Linked DNA regions of Coturnix japonica. The protein of the gene in region 2 interacts with the protein of the main gene of each other region in a pairwise test. Links are inferred from orthologs where the notes say so. Each region holds a gene or a part of one and is shown on either strand. Other genes may lie near its edges. The genes, in order: HOMER3, ABI3 and NUP58.

Evidence for each region.
Region 1: the proteins of ABI3 (region 2) and HOMER3 interact in binary tests that used the Homo sapiens proteins (3 or more experiments, as listed by UniProt). The two-hybrid records come from large-scale screens. The link is inferred for Coturnix japonica from reciprocal best matches to the Homo sapiens genes ABI3 and HOMER3.
Region 3: the proteins of ABI3 (region 2) and NUP58 interact in binary tests that used the Homo sapiens proteins (3 or more experiments, as listed by UniProt). The two-hybrid records come from large-scale screens. The link is inferred for Coturnix japonica from reciprocal best matches to the Homo sapiens genes ABI3 and NUP58.

The regions. Positions count from the first base shown.
Region 1 is NC_029543.1:2,742,036-2,748,883, reverse strand, and holds the start of HOMER3 (homer protein homolog 3), read right to left. Parts: upstream 4,144-6,848; 5' UTR 4,053-4,143; coding exon 4,021-4,052; intron 1-4,020. UniProt on the Homo sapiens protein: Postsynaptic density scaffolding protein. Binds and cross-links cytoplasmic regions of GRM1, GRM5, ITPR1, DNM3, RYR1, RYR2, SHANK1 and SHANK3.
Region 2 is NC_029542.1:3,002,336-3,009,119, forward strand, and holds the start of ABI3 (ABI gene family member 3), read right to left. Parts: upstream 4,475-6,784; 5' UTR 4,326-4,474; coding exon 4,215-4,325; intron 3,304-4,214; coding exon 3,136-3,303; intron 2,722-3,135; coding exon 2,545-2,721; intron 1,969-2,544; coding exon 1,886-1,968; intron 1,745-1,885; coding exon 1,649-1,744; intron 1,280-1,648; coding exon 1,095-1,279; intron 997-1,094; coding exon 868-996; intron 687-867; coding exon 526-686; 3' UTR 1-525. Other genes in the region: GNGT2 (guanine nucleotide-binding protein G(I)/G(S)/G(O) subunit gamma-T2), read left to right, coding at 6,199-6,282, 6,485-6,610. UniProt on the Homo sapiens protein: May inhibit tumor metastasis. In vitro, reduces cell motility.
Region 3 is NC_029516.1:158,395,784-158,402,399, reverse strand, and holds the start of NUP58 (nucleoporin p58/p45), read left to right. Parts: upstream 1-2,892; 5' UTR 2,893-3,115; coding exon 3,116-3,231; intron 3,232-5,786; coding exon 5,787-5,926; intron 5,927-6,314; coding exon 6,315-6,353; intron 6,354-6,616. Other genes in the region: MTMR6 (myotubularin-related protein 6), read right to left, coding at 1,036-1,059. UniProt on the Homo sapiens protein: Component of the nuclear pore complex, a complex required for the trafficking across the nuclear membrane.

The DNA.
Region 1 (6,848 bases), on a different chromosome or scaffold from region 2:
GAGTGGAGTTCGACCCAGTGGTCCTTAAGATGACATACAAAAATGCATGCTGGTTTCATTTGTACCTTGATTCTTATATTATTCTCATCATTACAATGCCCTAATTGATTTCTTAATGAATAGCTGCTTATTTCACCATTACTATGACAGCAAATCATTATTTGTCCTCTTATTTTATGGCCCCAGTAGAGTATTGACAACTGAGAGCCAAAGGGACTGAGTTGGCCAACACTGAGTGAGGGGCCTCACCATGATGGGATACATCCAAATGCTGCCAAGCCCCTAGAAGAGAATACCCTGCAAGCAATGCCATGTGCCAAGGAGGTACAGATGGCATCAGTTCATTCTCTTGCACCAGTGCCACGTTTCACCTGTGGGGGAATGCTGAGCTAAAGTGCCAAAATCTGGAGATTAAAACCAGTGCTGCCTCTCCAATTCTGTGTAATCTGAACACATATGTCAGTAGATTTACAGACTGTCCTTGAGTGTCCTGGATGGATACAGGCTCTTTATAGGCCTGTAAGCTTGTTCCTAAGTAAGATCTTCTGAAGAAATCCAGTGCTTCTGCAGACAGAACGTGCCAGAGAATCTCCCCTGCAACAGAAAAGGAAATAAGCCACCTCCAAGAGAAGCCTGTCCAAATGGGCCTGCAGCTGTTCAGAGGCAACACCAGGGACTGGCACCAGCTCTGTTCCCCTGAATCACTGCAATGCATATGCCACACGGGCTCATCACACCACAATACAACATCCAAGCTGAAGCAGAGCTCCTGATAACAGGGAGCTTCTCTATCCAGCTCTACTACATGGACCATCTACACCTGCAGCAGAGAGTCACCATTAATTCCTTTGCTTGAGATGTCTTTAGTGGGAGGATTTTACAGAGCACTTTCTCTAATCCTTGCTGGAGAAATACTCTCAATCCAGCAGATGGGTTTAATAACCAAACAGAAACAAAAAGAGATTCTTTTTGTTTAGAAGGCACAGACAGAGCTGGGAACAGAATTTCAACAGCACCGTGGCAGCTCCTGTGTTTCAATGTGTGCTGTCTTTGTCACACCCCAATTCCAGCTGCCTGTTGGGTTCTTTACACAGCATTGGTCTTCTCAGAGAAACAACCTTTTGCTGCATTTACTTCTGCGTAGTATTTCCAGTGCAAATACCACCTCTTTAGGAAAATCCCATTTGACAGTTACAGGCTCGCTCTCCTCAGTGGGTTCCCAAACCTAAGGGCAACTGCTAAAATGCAGCCTTCCTGCCAGACCTCGTTGAAAGGAAAAGAGGGAGAAGAATAAACCCTTTTATTATTTTCATCTTTAAACGCTCTTTGCTTCAGATCTTTTATGGCACCCAGCAACGTCTTTGCTCAGTAGCTTCTACACAGGGCGTGGGGAGGTGTTTCTGACTGCACCGCTGCATTTGGCTCATGCTTTGTGTCCTTGTTTTTCTCCATTTTTCCTGTGCAATCTGGAGGATTTTTCCTACTGAGAATCTTTTATTTTCCCCCCCATTAGTAATTCTGGCCTCACAATCCTGTCTACCCACCTAAAACACGCCTATTTAGTTAACCAAATGACTTACTACCTCCTGCCCACCTGTCCCCTTTGCTGCATGACCAGAAAGAAATCTTGCTATGTTTGCTTTGGAAAGGGAAGCTTTTAGAGTCACCATTCCCCAAACAGATGCTGCACTTAAAGCAGCAGCTGGGACGTGCTGGTGAGGCTGAGCTCAGTCCTCATTAACTGCATTTGCCTTGGTGTTCTTGGATAGGGTTCAGCCAAGGGCACATCTAGAGGTTCACATGCTGCTCCCCCTCTCTTTCACTGCAGCTTCTCTTTGCAGGGACATTCATTTACTTGTCAGAGAAAGAAGTCTCTGCATTTGGACACAGAGAGGGCGATCATTTTAAATACCTCGCTCTGCATCCAAGCAGTCTGCAGCTCCCCTTCATCTAAAAACCAAATCAGAAATGCCATATGAGAAACCACAAAGTACCCTATCAGCAGAATCATTTGTTTCTGTGAACTGTGGGCACAACATTGCACAGGTACAAGGGTAGGGAGGGGCTCTGGGGTGTGATAGCAGCGGGATACCTTTAAGAGCACAGAGACTTAGGGACGTATTTTTGCACTGTGGCTGGACTCAGTGCACAGCCATGCGAGTCCCCAGAAAAAAAGTCAACTGATAAAGGTCCATGGACAGCATTAGGTAAGGATTTCCCAGCTGCTGTGGTGAAAACTTTGCAGTTCTCAATGTAATCTTTCCTAAAGTCCTTTCTCTCCAAGGACTACTTTCCTGGATGGGTCCTGCTTGCGCAGAGCAGAAGGGGGTACGTGAGAGCATGTGAGCACCAAAGATATGTGGCTCAGCTCTGGCGCCTGGCCCAGCACCACGCTGAGTCAGCTGGGAGGCCGTGCTGGCTGCGTCAGGGCTGTGCCTGCTGCTGATCAGCAGCCAGCACTCTCTCATGTGAAAAAGCCCACTATGCAGTGCAGTACTGGGTAATTTGAGGGAGGAGATGGCTGGGACAGGCTGGGGGGGGGAATGCATTTCAGCCTGCCAGGGCCTGGTATTTCAAAAGGCAGAACTGGAGCATAGAGAGGACGTGAGAACCAGTTTCCTCCTCCACTGCTGTCTATCTTTGTTTCCTTTTATCTTCCCTCAGCAGCCTGAATAGCTGATGACTGCATGTCAGTGCTTTCTGAGGAAGTGTGGACTAACAGGACTGCAGAATCAAACCTCATTTCTTTCTCATTGCCTTTATTCTGGAAGTCTAACTTTTCCCAAGCCAGAGACTGGGTCTCACTACCTCCAAGAGCTTATGGAAGCTATTGCTTCCTCATAAACGGGTGCACAGGGTGTGCATGGACACTGCCTGCCTAGGATTTGGGTACTGGCCTGCAGGACATGATTATTATTCACTGACCTGCTGCAAAAGTTTGGGAAGGCCCGTAGCCCTTTGCTCCAACCACCAGGCAGGTTTTCAGGCCCTTTGAGCTACAGTCTTGCTTTCATTCAGTGCTGCATCATGTCACCTTGGGTGAAATGCTTAGATGCTGCTGGAGTCCAGGTGGGACCAGAAGAGGCCAGACTTCTCTATCAGCAGCCACACAAGGAAGGCTGAGCAGTGAAGCTCCGGCAGTGGGAGCTGGAAGCTGGCTGTGGGCTGCTTTCCCTGTGGCCTCCCCCAACTCCCAAGAGATTAACCAGCAGGGTTTAGCATAGGAATGAAAAGCAGCTGCCTCCTGGCCTGCCTGCAGATAAAGGGCAGCAAAGGAATCCCAGCTGAATATGCTCCTGTTGGGAACAGCAGCAAGCAGGCAAGGTCAGGCACAGAGAACGGAGATCAAGGGCATTTAAAGACATACAAATCCGCTGTTGTTTATTTTTTTCCCTCTCTCAGAAACCAGTCTCTATCTACAGAGCATTCTGATTGCTGAACACTCTGCAACACTCTGGGTGTCTGTAACACAACCTACACATTCACTTTCCTGAGACAACCATTACTTCTGCCACTGAGCATCAACAGTTCTTTCTTTTGACGCACACAGACCATTGCTGGAAGCCTGCAGAGCAATTACAGTTAGAAAACAGCAGAGCTAGACTGAAACTACACAACTCTTCTTACATTCCAGAAGAATAAAAAACCAAACATGTTCAGTAATAACTAGAACCAAAGAAGTGGACATATACATGTCCATATACAACTCCAAAATGTATTCTGCCTCTGCTTCTTCACTGGGAGCCACAGGACCCAGCTGACATCCAGCACACATGCCTGCTTTCCCTCACTCAGCTCTCTGAACTCTGCTGCCATTTTCAACCTGGACTTGTCAGAGCTCCACAAGCACAACCAGCTCAAGGGCCAGCTCTATCTGCTGCTCACAGTGCAGCGGCACTACACACAAGAGCAGGTGAACTCTTTGATAAGTGGGAAAACTCTATACTAATCGAATTATAAGTTGTATGCACTCGTGCTTCTCTGCTTATGCAGTTAGTAGAGACAAAGAAATATAAATACCTACTGAGGTCACAGCTGGGACCCAACTGCATTCACTTCCCTTGCAATCAAGTGTTATTTACAACTCTACTCTTCAGAGAGGAAGTGCTAGTGTGCTAATACACGAGTCCAAGGGCAGTTTGCCTGTGAAAAGCAGAATGTGATGTTACCAAAGACATCTAACATGGAGGAACAAAGCCCAGAATCCCTGCTTCAAAAATAAATCAACTAAAACCAAGTGCCAAACATCATTTGAAGGTGGGACACTTTTAATCCCTTCTGTATCGAGAGGAATCTAAATGCTGCTGAAAGCTACTTAATATCCCCATGTGATCAACATACAAGCAAAAAAGACCTTTTAACTCAGGAGACAAGTGGAATTGTGGGTGGAAATGTCATCTCTGGCTTAGTTTTGCTAGTGTAGTTACACAGAGTGATCTAAGCAGACTGAGATGCTGACATCAGCTCAGAGATTCAGAGCTGGGGGTCTGAAATCACAATGGATGTTAATTGTGGCTGTTCCAAGAAGGGTTCATCCCCTGCCCCTGGGAAACACACTGAGCTGTCACAAGTCATCTGCCTGCTACGCCCTTCCTGGCACTTCTGGAAGCTTTACGGTAACTTTGTGCATCACAGATGGAAAGTCAGAGGAAAACAAGGACACTTTCTGCTTTAACCTGTATCAGCACATACTCACCGACTTCAAAGGGTCTACGCCTGCTTCACACTGCTGTCACTTTTGATTCCTCGCCTCTACCTGTTCTGTGTCTTGAAGGTGTGTCTGCCTGCTCGATCATTTTATCTGGATAGTCCATAAGGGATATCAACAAGAGGAAAACAAGCCTCTAAGAATCTCACTTATTCGCCTTGTAATGCCAAACCCACACAGTTGGAGGGGGTTGATCAGACAGATCCACTGTGCTTCCAAACAGCCACGAAGAGTTTAACACACAAGAAACTCCCAACAATGTGTCAGGTCCTTCAACTTACATGACTGAGATTTATAAATAGGGCATAAATTAAATACCAGGCTAAGCTCCTATTTCCATGCCAAAATCCACTGCCACATCCACACAGCATTATTTCATTACAGGACAATCGGAGCAGAGGTTTCCAATCAGCTTTGTACCCACTCAGAAATACAAACAGGATCCATTTTTCCTGTAGTGTCAAAGTAACCACAGCTCAATAAAATCCCTTAACTCCCAACTCTTGGAGAACTTTATGTACACAGCCCAGACCCACCCAGCCACACACTTTGGGTTCTGTACATCATATGTATCACTAGAGGCTTCCCTTATGTACGTGTTTAAAGCAGTTGCAGAGATTTGCAATCATCTCCTTTCTAATAACCAAAGTAAAAAGCTAAGTCTAAACTTTCGAGCTCACGGTATGGGGGAAAACAATGCAATATAAACCCATTTCTTTTGCAGTTACGTTAAAAATAGCTCAGCTGCCATGAATAATAAATGAAACTCAAGAATAAGAAAGTGCCAGTCTCACCCCATCTTTGCCTGGGTGTCAGCTTCTTTTCTCTCCCGTCTTTTCTTCAGCTGCCTTAGCTTCTCTCCACGTTCTGATTTATTTCTCCCTTCCTCTTTCTTTCTCTGTCTCTCTCCGGATCCGGATGCTCTTTAAATTTCCTCCGGAATTTCACTTGGAAATCTGTTAGTTTTGCGGTCGGTTCCAAACGCCCGGCAACCCCCCGGTCTCGCGGGGCACCCAGGGTAGGGGCGACCCGGACCCCCCCGGCCTGCGGGAGCCCACACCCAGCGGTGGAACTCGGGCAGTGCCCCGACCGCTGAGCTCCCCAGCAGCTCCCCCTGCGTTCTGGCTCCCAGGCTCCCTCCTTCCCTTCAGCATGGGAGGGGAGCAGCAGGATTAGGTGGTGCTTTTGCAAGCGCTTTTAGACAAAGCCGTCTGCTCGCTGCTGCTCCGGCAGCCTCGCAAGTTTCTCCCCGCAGCCCAAGAAGCTCAACCACCGCTGCCGCTTGTCCTTCTGGATCGCGATTTCTTTCTTCTCTCACTCGTATTGTAGTGGGTTTTTTGGGTATTTTTCCCCCTTCTCTCTCCTATTCGCTTCCTCTCTCTTCCAACTGCCCCATCTCGGTCACATTTCTCCGCTCCTTCTCTCGACTTTATTCCAGGGGCCGGTGCCGGCTCGGCGGCACCACCTGCCGGGCACAGCGAGCAGAGCTGGGCGCAAACAACGCGGCCACAGCCGGGCACCACTGAAGGGTCTCTGGGTACCCATAGGAAAAGGAAAAACAGCAAAAACCAAACCCAAACCAATCAACCAACCAACCAACAAACCCCATGTGATCTTAGTCTGGATATATTCTATCAGAAACAGGTCCCTCCTTGTTCGGCTGAGGCACCCAGGGGTAGAGGTGCCCAATGACCACCTGCCCAGCTCACTGAGCAGAGGGCTCAAAGCAAAGCCATGAGAAAGAACAGAACTGCTCCATTTTGAACTCCATCAATGAAAGGAAAGCACACAGCGTGACTTCAACGGAGCCATAACAGGTACAATGCAGCCTAAGGGCTGGGAGCAGAAGCTGAACAGGTCCAGCCTGGGGGAAAAGAAGCACTTCCAACCACAACCAAGGGCAGACACAACAGAAATCTCAGCCTGCTGAAGGCAGCAGGAGGCCCAACCAGGAATGGATTATTCACACCTGCTCTTTTTAAGCCTTCTATCCAACATCTCAGAGCAAAGATTCTGCACACAGCAGCTGTTCTGATTGCTGCTTGAGTTCTGTAGGCAAAGCCCAGAGTGCACCCAGCCTGGTGTTCCCACACATAAGACAAATGGGATGGAGGCCTGCTTGTGAACACAGCCTGTTTAG
Region 2 (6,784 bases):
GTGCTCTGCAGGTTGGGCCTGACCTACAGGAGCCCCTTTGGTACAGGACTTAGACCTGGCTCACCCTCCTCTCAAGCAGCTGGGAGCAGTTCCTTGCCCCAGAGCTGCTCTCCTCTTCGTGCTTATGATTTCTGAGCTTTGGTCCTACTCTGCTGTCAATCCTAGGGGTCTAAGAGCAGCACCAGGGCCAGCCCAAGGGATTTCAGAGCTTGCTTCCCACCCCCCCATTTCCAACAGCTTGAGGGCCAGGGAGTTGCCTCAGTGCTAAACCTTCACAGCATCATCATCATCATCATCAATTGCTGGTGTCATTAAAAAAAATGACAAAGGGTGGGATGAGGTGCAGGGAGCAGGCAGGGGGATGTGTGGGGTGCAGGCAGCAGCATGTGGCATGGGGTCATGTCATGGCTGCAGCAAAAAGGGGCTGAGCTGTGCAAAGCCAGAAGTCAAAGGCAAAGTGGAGCCCTCACCTCCTGGACACAGCTGAGCTGGGTGGGCGATGAGGGGTCGGGGAGCTGCTGGTGCTCAGAAGGGCTCTACATAATTGCCAGGGAAGAAACCTGCTTCCTCGCCCATGATGCCTTCACACCATCCATCAGAGTACCTCCGTGTGACATAGATGAGGGCACCAGGCTCGAAGGAGAGCTCATTGTCCTTCTGTCGTGTGTACGGGTAGATGGTCAGCACTGTGCAAAGAAGGGGAGAGACGCCATGGAGAAGAGTGGGGACAGCTGAGATGGGCAGGAGGGAAGGGCTGAGCCTCTGCACTGCCCTGTAGTGGGGCAGTCACATCCTCAGTGCTGTGACCACATCCAGGGCCAAAGAATCTGGTGGATCTCAGCAGATCTGACCCTGGAGCTGCTGTACCTTTATCCAAGTAGCTCTCAGGGACACATGAGGGTTCCTCTGCAGCTGGTGGTGGTGGTGGTGGGGTGAAATCCTCAAAGTTGGGCAGTGGTGGTGGTGGTGGCAGCGGTGACTCTGGGTCATTGGAGACTGTAGAACAAATTCAGTGAGAGTCAAGCGGCTCCATACAGAGCAGAGCACAGCATTTGTGTTTGAAATGAGCACCCCCCAGACACCGCAGCACTCACCTGGAAGGCTGAAGTCTGGTGGGGGCACATCCAGGTCCCCTGGTGGTGGTGGTGGTGGGAGCAGATCCCCAGGGAGAGGTGGAGGGGGTGGGATGGTGGCTGCAGCTGGGGTGGGTGGTGGTCCCGGGAGGGGTGGGAGTGGGGGTGGTGCTGGGATGCCTTCCCCAGGGGCTCCTCCACTTGAGCTGGGGATTCAGAGTCAGGTAAAAGGGGTGTATGTGTGTGTGGGGAGGCATGTCTCAGCCCTCCCATCTTTGAACATGGGTGTCTGCTCTATGCTAGAACAGGGTGACACCCAGTGCTGTCACCACGGGCAGGCACCCCAGCATCTGTGTGCAAAGCCATTTCCCCATCCTGTGCCTTAGTTTCCCCCTTGGGAACCATCTCTGTTATTTTGCTCTAGATACACACAGTGAATTTCCTGCTCTCCAATACAATATTGCTTATCAAAACCTCTCTGCAAATAGATGCAGTGGGGTAACCACAGCTGCCCTATTCCCACTGATCCCCCTCTCCCTGGTTATTCCAGACACCCCCCTGGCCCAGGCTGGTACCTGATTGATGTCAGTGAGGAAGCAGATGAAGCTGCAGAGAGCTTTCCCTCGGGAACCACGGGGGGCTGGATGGGCTCAGGGACACGAGTGCTCCTCCTGCCAACAGAGCAGGCACTGAGCCCATGCTGACAGGACACAGAGGGCAGCTGCATTGGGCAGTGCACCCCATGGCTCTGTCCCTGCTCAGTGACACCCAAGCTAAAGATTCCCTACTCTACACCATCCCAGAAGCCTCACCCCATGGTGCCTGCAGACTGTGTGGTTATCTTCATCCCTTTCCGAGACAGTGTGCCTGTCCTGGACAGCTGAGTGCTGTGATCCTGCAGGCAGAAGAAAACACATACACATGACAAGTTCATTGCACTCCATGCCTACCATGCCCTTATAGTGCCCCAAAGGCCTTTGCTGAACCCTTCTCAAAAGGATGGGGGGTGGTGAGGGGCTGCCCCAGCTAATAGAAGTAGATATTGGTGCTGATAGAAGCAGATATTGGTGCTGCTGTCTGGCATTGCCACCGTGGGAACTGCAGCCCCAGCACTGTCACTTCCCCTTCGACTCCACAGCGGTTTCACACTGTGCACGTGGCTCTGATGCTGCTGAAAACCCACAGACGCCTTCCGGTGAGGGGGCAGCTTACAGGGGCAGTTTCAGTGCTGGAACAGCACTGTGGGTGTAATGCAACTCAGCCTTAGCCAAGCAACTCTGGGACTGTGTGCCTTTATGGCATTGTCAGTGTCCCATTCCCCTCCTGCACCAAGATGAGCCCCACTGGGACAAGTCCTGGAGGAAGCATAGACAGACCCCCTTTCTCCATCCAGGAGGGGTTTGTACCCCCACCAGATCACATAAAGCCCATCTAAACCCCCATCTACCCACGGGACACCCTCCAGGCTGACCTTTATGCCGTGACCGATGTCATCCAGGATGCTGAAGTTGAGGGGTTTCCTGTAGTAGGGCTCTAGGGAGGGTGGGTTGGGGGGGGATGTGATCTTCTGGTGGGATGGGAACCTCTTACTGACGGTCAAAGCGCCGATCTCCCGACGAGATACTTTCTCCTTGTGCATGTCAACGCTCTGTGGAGGCAGCAGGAAAGGCTCTAAGGAGCCCTCAAATATCAGGAAGAAAGTGAGTGGCTGCAGGGCTCTGAGTCATTGTCCCTAGTTCTCCAAGGGGACGAGGCCAGTGTCCACCGAGGGGAGATAACAGCATCTGAGCCTATGTGACTGCTGCAGGGTAGCTCCTTGGGGGCTTCCCCAGAGGCTGCCATGGTCCCCAAACACCCAGACTAAGACAAGCCCTTAAGAACAGTTTCCCACCCCTCGGTAGTCTTGTCCTTTAGCTTCTTGGGTGACCAAGGTGCTGCAGGGGCTGACAGGCCATTAAAACCACAAGAAAAGTTGGTCTCCAGTCCCTGTAAGCTGCTCCTTTCTCAGGGCTGAAACCCCACAGCAGTACAGACCCATGGCAGTGGCTGAGGTCAGACCCACCTGGGCTACACAGCTGACATTGGCCTCCAGCTTTTGCAGCTCGGCTGCCTGCAGGTCCAGCAGCTGCAGGAAGGTGGTGGCCAGGCTGCTGACCTGATAAGCCACACTGGCCAAGGACTGTGTGCTGAAAGCCATCGTCTCCTCCAGAGCCTTCCTCTTGTCGCTTGCCTGGAGGGTGAAACACAGCTGTGATGAGCTGGGATGGCTGAGAGCACAAAGTGCCGCCGCCGTCATACCCAAACCAGGGTCACAAGGGAGCAAAGGGGCTTCCTTCTGCTTTCCAAATGCATCACAGTTCCTCCAGCTCAGGCAGTGGGACTCAGCGATGCTCAGCACCATCAGGGTGCAGTGGGAGAAGCACAGAGGGGATCAGGAGGGTCTGTGCTGTTGGGACTGTTCCAGTCCCGCTGCCAGCAGCTGGGGAAGCAGTCTCAGTTCTCTGAGCTGTTTTGCATGCTTCCCCTTCAGAGATGCAGCTGGGGGGCTGTGAACCGACCAGAAGCTTCAGCATGAGAAAACAACCCAGCCCTGGATGATGCTTAACTGAGGCAGCAGCAATGCCCGGCCATGGGACAGAGTGCAGATTCACAGCCCCAGATGGGGTGAGGGAACAACCATCACCACTCCCTTGGGTCTGCCATGGGGGAATGAGGCTACCAAGGTGGGATCCTTAAAGCACCCAAGAGACCCCCGGTCAGGGCACTGTTCCCAGCCAATGGGGCCAAACCAACCCTTTGCCATCCCCTCAGCAGGTCACAGGGACAGGGGGGAGTAGGACAGCACAGAGCCCATTGCCCACCCTATGCTGGGAAGGAGTGAGCACTGTCAGCACCTCCCAGACCCTGAGCTGCCATCCCTGCTCCCCTCCAGCACCAAAAAACCCCAGAAGACCCCCCCCACAATGTCCCACACATAACCCTGATGGCTGAGCAGAGGGGAAACTGAGGCACGAGAGAAGCTCTCAATGCTGGGCAGGAAATGAATGGGAACAGCAAAGCCTTCACCCCCACACCATCCTCCCCATCACCACCACAGACCCCCCAACCCATCCCAGCCCCACACACATCCCTACACCCCACCTGCAGGTAGTTGCTCTCGCAATACTCAGCCACACGCTGCAGGTTGTTGTGGTTATCACGCAGTCCCTGCCGTGCTGCGGGGACATCGCAGGGCTGCAGCGGCTCCGCCATAGCGCTGGGACCGGAGCCCACTTCCTCCCCAGTCTTTAAGGCGCCGAGTTTTGAAGCTCGCGGTGATGCTGACGTATTGCTTTGCTGATGCTCCGTGGGTTGTCACCTCTCCCAGCTTCCCTTGGTGGAGGTTTGGAGGCTGCAGGTAGAACCTGAAAGCTGTTGGAGTGCTGCAAGGCCGCCTACAACTGCTCTACACATCCATACTCACCCCCTCTAATTCAACCAGCCCCATCAAGGGAGTATGGCTTCTTCATGAGGCTGAAGGCAGCATGGCCATGGGTAGGGCACCATTTCCAGGTCAGTGCTGCAGTTTGGCTCCTGACAGCCCAAATTTGGTAATTTGGAGCTTGCACCTCCATCCTCTGATGGAGCCTGGGGGGCAGGGGGCCAGGCCTGGCTCTGTTGCACCCAGCAAGGGCAATTCCCTTCCCCTTGCCTTTATGGGACTGGCAGGAGGAGATCTAGCTCCAGAGTGATGCTTCCATTGCCAGCTCATCTTCTCCAGACAGCCCCGTGCCTGCACCTCACCCAGCTCAGGCTGGGTGCAGCCATCAGTTTCTGCTTAGCTCTGTTTGCTGGGACAACACGTCCCTCCTTGTGCTTTGCTAATGGTTTTTCCCATCCGCACAGGACAGTGCAAGAGGCCACAGCCAAGGGCAGGAAACTCTCACTTCCCAGCACTGGGAGGGTCCCTCATGCTGGGAATCCCCCTCTACCTCCTCCTCCTTATGCTTCCTTGGGGCCTCCTGAGTTCTGTCCTCAGCTTTAGGGCTTCACATGGGCAAAGCAAGAGCCAAATGTCCATAATTGCCCACAGCAATTAAGGTGAGGATGAGGGAAATGATGAACCAGCTCTGCTTCTCACCCCCTTAATGGCCAAGAGCCACCCCAGCTGCCTCCTGCCCCCCCCATTCCATCCCATAGGAGAAAGGGATGCTCCCTTTGCTCCCCCAGCCAGGCCCCAGGCCTACATAGGCTCAAAAACACACAGTGTGAGCTCAGGGGCTGCTGAGTGCCCCACAAAGCTCATCTCCACCCTTGCCCTTCCTCCCTCACCCTCCCCTATGGCCCCACCACTGATTACCCCAAGCTTTGAGGCTAATGCCCAACACCTGACCAGCTTATTCTTCTGAGTCTATTATCAGCTTAGGGACCAAAGACATCTGCTCCTTGCTACAGGCTGGGAGATCCAAAGGAGTCTTCAAACAGAACAGTGCAGACACAGAGGACGGCAGCTCGATGGGTTTCTGAACATCTCCAGCAGTGAGAGGGGCAGCCCCTCATCCATACAGGTAAGTGGCTTTGCTTCCTCCAGGCACAAAGGAATTGCAGGTGTTACCATCACCCCCATGAGCTGATAGCACAGCTGAGCTGCATCTTTCATCTCCTTGGGACCCATCATAAACATTGATGGGGAGAGGAGCACTGGGTATGTATGCCATGAAAACAGCCACACAAAATCAGCAGGGTTTGGGGAACAGAAGTTTGATGACTTCCAAAGCAGAGACAAGAAGCATTGCTGCTTAATCACATTCCTCTTTATGATTTAAGTGGTTGTGGCCAGGCTTTCGAGCCCAAGTTTTAATATGGGAGCAGCACAAGCCAACTCTCCAAGTCTCTCTTATAACCCTTGGATGCCCCTTCGTAAAAAATAGATGGGCTTTTCCAGCTCACAGCATTGAAGGTCTCTGTGCACACAGAGGTAACAGCAGTGAAGGGACACAATTAACCTCTTACTTGCAGGGCTGGCACAAGGAATGGAGGGCTGTTATCAGCTGTTATTTGCAGTAGCATTAGGGCAAAAGCAACAGTCCTAAAGTGCCCTTGACAAGCTTCAAGCACGTGCCATCTCTGTTGGTTACAGGGCAGAATGGCTCAGGATATGACAGAGAAGGAACTGTTGAAAATGGAATTGGATCAGCTGAAGAAGGAAGTGAAGAACGAGAGGCAAATGGTGAGTATTGCCCCAAAACGCAAAACAGAGAGTAACCTTGGCACCCTGAGGATGCTGATGGGGCACACCACAGCCAAGGGCAGCTCTGTGGGTCCCTCTCCCAGAGGCTCACATGGATTTATAGGCAGACGATGAGCAGCTCTGCAGCGACTGCTTGTTCCCATAACCCACATTGGGCGTCTCCTTCCTTCCTTCCTTGCAGGTCTCCAAGACTGGCAAAGAGCTCAAGGAATACATAGAATCCATGGCAGGAGAGGACCCGCTTTTAAAAGGTGTCCCTGAGGACAAGAACCCCTTTAAGGAGAAGGGCGGCTGTACGATAAGCTGACATCCTTCCTCCTCCTGCACCGCCCTGCTTTGAGCACAGAGCCTTTCCCATACTCAAGCCAAGACTGTCAGAAACCTGCTTTCCCTATAGTCTGACCTCAGCACCGGGGAGGAACCGAAACAAAATGTAGTTGCATCTGAAGTAGCAGCAGAAAAAAAATATAGAGGAAAAAAA
Region 3 (6,616 bases), on a different chromosome or scaffold from region 2:
TGGTGGAGTCTCCTTCTCTGGAGATATTCAAGACCCACCTGGACGCCGACCTGTGCGACGTGGTGTAGGGAGCCTGCTTTGGCAGGGGGGTTGGACTCGATGATCTCTAGAGGTCCCTTCCAACCCCTACAATTCTGTGATTCTGTGATATGAGGACAGCATCAGCACTCCAACTCCTTAAAGCCTTCCAACTCTGATGGCCAATTTCTAGATGTACTTTGCTTACAGATAGATTAAGTGTATTTTAGATCCAGCCTCCATAGATGATATGCTCAGTAAAACCCCACACAGCCAGCTCTAATGGGTACTCGGCTCAACAAGCGCACACCTGCTTCAGGGACATGCCTTTATTTACATATATGTATTTTTTAACTATAAATCTGTTGTTCAGTTTTGAAGAGAATGGAGCCACAAAATCCTGAAGACAGCTATGGAGTTTTAGCACATCTGCTAACAAGGTTCACTTAAGGAGGTAGAAGTAACATGCTGGCTGTAACCAGCACTAACAAGCCAGTGATACAGATACACATAATCAGATACCTTGATAACATAACCCAATTCCCTTGAAAGAGAATAACCACACAGCTCGTTAGGACTGGGAGTTACAGATTAAAGACAAAAAATAAAGTGTTTCAATGTTGGAAATGAATTAGTACAGAAAGGAAAGCTAAAATTCTCTCTGATGCCCTGTACTGAAGACACTGAAGAATCACCTTATATCAAATAATGAGATAAAAATACGCTGTATCATTCAAAGACTCATTACCACTTCAATTAGGAAAAGCACGTTAATCTCCCAGCAGTCAGAATGGAGTCCAAATCATGCCTACACATGCACTGACCTTGTAGGGCACCTAGTGCAGTGGCCAGACTTAAATATTATAATAAAAGACACATTTTAGCCCTAAAACCCATCATTTTAAAACAGACTGGAGGGGCCCGGCGAGGCTGGGACACGATGGGCCCAAGCACACCCCACACCCCCACCCCATAAGCAACCATCCCGGCTTTAACAGCACCGTCACCCCGCGGTACCTTGGTAGTGCGGATGTGCTCCATGACGGCCCCGAGGCTGAACACAGCACGCAGAGCCGGGCCGGGCTGCCGACACCTACTGCCCGTCACCTACTGCCGCTTCCGGGCCGGGGCCGGGCGGAGCCTGGAATAATGGCCTACAGCGCCCCCTGGAGGCGGGAGGCTGCGCGGCCCGACTTGGCCACTGTGGTGGTGCCGTGTTGTGCTGGTGGTGACGCAGGGGGTGTTGGCTGTTGGGTTTGGTGTTGTGTCGTAGCGCTTCACTCTCATCACCCAGTCACAGAATCAATTATCAAGGTTGGAAAAGACCTAGAAGATCATCTAGTCCAACCATTACCAATACTTCCCAGCTAAATCATATTCCTCAACACAACATCCAAACGTTTCTTGAACACTCCCATGGTTGGTGACTCCACCACTTCCCTGGGCAGTGCATTCCAGTGCCTGACTACCCTTTATGAGAAGTAATACTTCCTAATGTCCAGCCCTCCATAGGAGCTGCTGTTGGGGGAGAAGGGAATGAGCGTGCAGTCCTAGAATCAGAATCAGTGTGGGTCACAGAATCACAGAATCACAGAATGACCCGGGTTGGAAGGGACCTCAAGGATCATGTAGTTCCAACCCCCCTGCCTGGCAGGGCCACCAAACATACACATTTACTAGATCAGGTTGCCCAGGGCCCCATCCAGCCTGGTCTTGAACACCTCCAAGGACGGGGCATCCACAACCTCCCTGGGCAGCCTGTTCCAGGGCCTAACCACTCTCCTAGTGAAGAACTTCCCCCTAACATCCAACCTAAATCTTCCCTCTTTTAACTTAAAACCATTTCCCCTAGTCCTGCTATTGTCAGCCCTTTCGAAGAGTTTACTCCCCTCCTGGGAGTAAGTTCCCTTCAGGTATTGAAAGGCTGCAAATCTTGTAAATGGGTTGGAAAAGATCATCCAGTCCAGCCTTAACTCAAACCCTGACACCCACATTCCACATCAGTCAGTTCTGCACCCACACAGTACTGAACGCCTCCAGGTTCGGTGGCTGCACCGCCTCCATGGGCAGCCTGTGCCACTGCCTCACTGCTTCGTCTGAGAAGTTTTTCCTACCTTCGTCAAACACTTGGTTTTCAAATGATTCAGGGAGGTAATTGTCCCCCTGTACTCAGCACTGGTGAGGCCGCACCTCAAGTACTGTGTTCAGTTTTGGGCCCCTCACTGCAAGAAAGACATTGAGGCCCTGGAACGTGTTCAGAGGAGGGCAACAAAGCTTGTGAGGGGTCTGGAGCCTTATGAGGAGCGGCTGAGGGAGCTGGGATTGTTCAGCCTGGAGAAGAGGAAGCTCAGGGGAGACCTTATTACTCTCTGTAACTTCCGGAAGGGAGGTTGTAGTGAGCTGGGGGTTGGCCTCTTCTCTCGCGTAATCAGTGATAGAACTAGAGGGAATGGTTTTAAGCTGCGCCAGGGGAGATTCAGGCTGGACATTAGGTAGTATTACTTCTCGGAAAGGGTAGTCAGGCACTGGAATGCACTGCCCAGGGAGGTGGTGGAGTCACCAACCATGGGAGTGTTCAAGAAACGTTTGGATATTGTGTTTATGAATATGATTTAGCCGGGAAGTATTGGTAATGGTTGGACTAGATGATCTTCTAGGTCTTTTCCAACCTTGATAATTCTGTGATTCTGTGATTGGGTGACGATGCCCACAGGCCTTCAGAGGGTATTAATATAATGTCCTAATATAATATAACGACTCCCGTTTCCCGTTAACACCTATAACAATAGCAGACTGCTGCCCATCCATCCTCCACGCTCAGTGCCGTGCACCCGTCGGGTCGCTGTCGCTTTAAGATCGGGCTGTGGCGGTGCCTCCATCCCGTGGTGCGTAGCGCGGTGCGCGCGTAGTGCTGTGCTGCGTGGTTGCCCGGTTGCTCGGTCTCTCGGTGTCTGGCCGCGTTCCTCCCGCTGGATCCGCTCCGTGCCGCCATGTGGCGCTGAGGCCCCGCCCGCCTCGGGAGCCCCCGTCGCCCCGCCGAGACCCCGCCGCCGCCTGACGCCGTTCCTCAGCTCCGCTCCGCTCAGTTCCCGCCGCCATGTCTGCGGGCTTCTCGTTCGGCGCGGGCACCCTGGGCTCCGCAGCTGCTGCTGCCGCCGGGGCTGGAGGAGGAGGCGGGGGCGGCGGGTTCTCGTTCGGCACCACCGCACCGAGGTAACGCGGCCCTTCTCCCCTCAATCCCTATCGGCTGGGCCCTGCCGCCGGCCTCCCCTACCGGCCCGGCCTGCGTAGGCCTCGGGGTGGGCGGTCGGCAGGCGGCTCTACGCTTGGGTCTCTTGGCGCTTTTCCGGCCTCTCCATGCGGCCTCAGTCCCGGCCCTGCCCTCAGGTGGGATCACGGTGTCCGCACGGCCCCGGGTGCCGCGGGGCTCCGTCCGTGCCGCTGTTGTGTGCCGACCACGCGTGGCTCTGCTAAAGGCCCCGCTTAGCGCTCAGGGGTCTCTTGGAGGTGTCTCAGAGGCACCTTGGAGGTGTTCAAGACCAGGTTGGACGGGGCCCTGGGCAACCTGATCTAGTAAAGGTGTATGTTTGGTGGCCCTGCCAGGCAGGGGGGTTGGAACTACATGATCCTTGAGGTCCCTTCCAACCCGGGTCATTCTGTGATTCATTCTGTGATTCTGTGAGTCAAGTTTGAGTTTCAGGGTTGTTTTTCTTTTCCATATATGTGCGTACAGGTGTGTTAGTGCCACTGTTTCTTCTGATTTTCTTGCTGCTGTGCTTTTACTGGAAGGAAGCCTGTTCCAGTGGAGCTTTCTCAGAACTTTGGAGCTCTTCCCAAATCTGATGGTGCCAAACTAGTTGTTAGAAGTGAAGCTACTCAGGACATCAATCTCAAATGGGTGTGATTCACAATGCGTGCCCCCAAGCATTGGCAGGAATTAGCAGGGACATGGGATCATCACAGAATAGTTTGTTTGATCTCTTTTAAGGGTCCCTTCCATCAGCCACGAGCATTTTCTGGAGATTGATGGCCCTCCTTGTGGGGGGGGTTGGAACTTTATGATCCTTAAATGTACAACTATAATTGAGAACTTCTTTCATCTGATTGATGCAAGTTTCCTGTAGCATTTAAACGTTTATATAAGCGTTTATTTTTTGCTATTCTATCGAACTTTTCTTAGACTACTTAAAAAAAAAAAGAGTAAATATATCATACGTGCCAATAATATATAATATCTAAAATAATAGCAAAGATGTACTTGGCATTTTTGTTTATATCTTTATTTCCATGAGTAGGATGAGTTGATCTCTGCAGAGCTGAAAGCATTATTGCCAGGTGTTGGGGGAAAGGGGACTTTATTCTGTTGTCTAATCATAGGTTGTTATGGATCACTGTGATCAGTCACAGTTTATATTCTTGTGTCTAAAGGAGTACGGCATGGCAGCCTATGTAATTCCTGTGTGCTACATATTCAGCTTTATACAGGTATGGTGCTTTGTGAGGCGCTTGTTGCCCAAGTGAGTTGTGGATGCCACATCCCTGAATCATAGAATCATAGAATTACCGAGGCTGGAAAAGACCTTGAAGACCATCAAGTCCAACCGCAGCCTAACCAGTACCCTAACTCTAAAAACCCTCCACTAAATCATATCCCTGAGCACCACATCCAAACGGCTCTTAAACACAACCAGGGATGGCGATTCAACCACCTCCCTGGGCAGCCTATTCCAGTGTTTAACTACCCTTTCTGTAAAGAAATTCTTTCTAATATCCAACCTAAACTTGCCTTGGCGCAACTTGAGGCCATTTCCCCTTGTCCCATCATTTGTCACTAGTGAGAAGGGACTTGCCCCACTCTCAGTGAAGGTGTTCAAGGCTGGATTGGATGGGGCCCTGGGCAGCCTGATATAGTGGGTGGCAGCCCTGCCCATTGCAGGGCTGGATCTGGATGAGCTGTGTAAGGTCCCTTCCAGTCTAAGCCTTTCTGTGTTTTGCTCTAGCTCCAAAGTTAGAGTTTTCCCTTAGGGCCACCACGCCGAGGTAATGCCTTCCATCTGTGGGCAGTAGGAAATAAACCCTGTGATCTGTGCTTTTCCATGCTGCCACTGGTTTGCCTTTGTTTTGGCTTAGTTAAACTTGTTCATTTTTCAGTTTCTCTGTTGATGCTGTTGTTTGGTTTTTTGTTTTCCCCATAGTGCTGAGCACTTGTTAGATATAGGAGCTGTGCTCATACTGAAAGTGAGGAGGTGAGGGAATAAAGAGAGGATATTAAACATATGACACTTAATCTGTGAAGATTGTTACGTTGAAGTCTAAACTGTGCTTTATTTCATTGCTGCTGTTGTACGCTGTGCCAGATGTCTCAACTGAAGGGAACTTGTGTAGTTTATCAAGAGACCAGCTTGTCTCTCTCCTTTCTTTCTTGTGTCTTCCATGTGAAAATAGCTCTGGGAATTAATTTCTTTAATTGGATTGTGCAGTGTATTCTTAGAAAAGAAAATATTTGAAGTGTAGGTATGGGTCATCTGTGATTTGCATTTATAGGCAACAAAAGTGGTTTTGTTCCTGTTTCTTGCTAAAGCAGGACAAAGCTGATGGTCTGGTGCATCTGTGTTCTTACTGCTTCAGAATGAAGTAGCACGGGTTGAGGTTTCTGGTTAGACATATCCAAGTGTACTTGCATTGTGCTTTGAGAAGACAGAAATAAGGGGTTTGGATCTTTTCCTTTTGAGGAAATAATAAATGTTAACACTCTTGTTTTGTAATAGCTCTACAGGAGGACTTAATTTTGGAACTCTGGGTTCTTCCACTGCTACGGCAACTACGTCTGCTCCTTCAGTGGGATTTGGAAGCGGGCTCTTTGGATCGAAACCAGCCACTGGCTTCACACTCGGAGGCACCAGTACAGGTAGGAAAAACACTTGTACAGCAGACATGTAAAGCAATGGTGAAGCAATGTACCATAGGCACATAAAAACAGGATTATAATATGGTTCTTTTTTCATTGTAACTCATATCTGTAGCTCAGAATATCATGTCATGACTCCATATATTACATCAGCTTCACTGTTAATAGATTCTTATGAGATTGTTTGTTTTAAAGGCTTCATGCTTTAATTTGCGTAGCTGGGGTTTACAACTAGTGGTCTTGATGTGACAGTTACTCTGCTTTCAAGATGCTACGTAATGTAACATAAGATATGTAGTGAAACAAAGCACTGGAATAAATAGTTATGATTGTTGGTAACATAACTGCTCAGTGGGCCTCACTGTTCTTACTCTTTTTCTTCTTGAAGCAGGAACAGCAACAACCATTGCTCCAGCACTGACTCTGGGTAAGGACCTCATTTGGATAGTAATGATTTACAGGGGAAAAAAAAAGCTGTTTAGTTCTTATTATGTAGGAGGTTAACGTTTGTGCCAGCTTTTTGCTCACTGCTCATTGCAGTCTGCTGTGAGCTGGAGTGGAGCTAAAGGGTTATTCCATTCCTGTACAACAGTATAAGTAGTCACAGTAAGAAGCTAGACTGCATCTAAATCCCCTGATGAGTTCCATCCTTCAGCAGAGAAGTGGAGTCAATAACCAAAGAATTCTTAA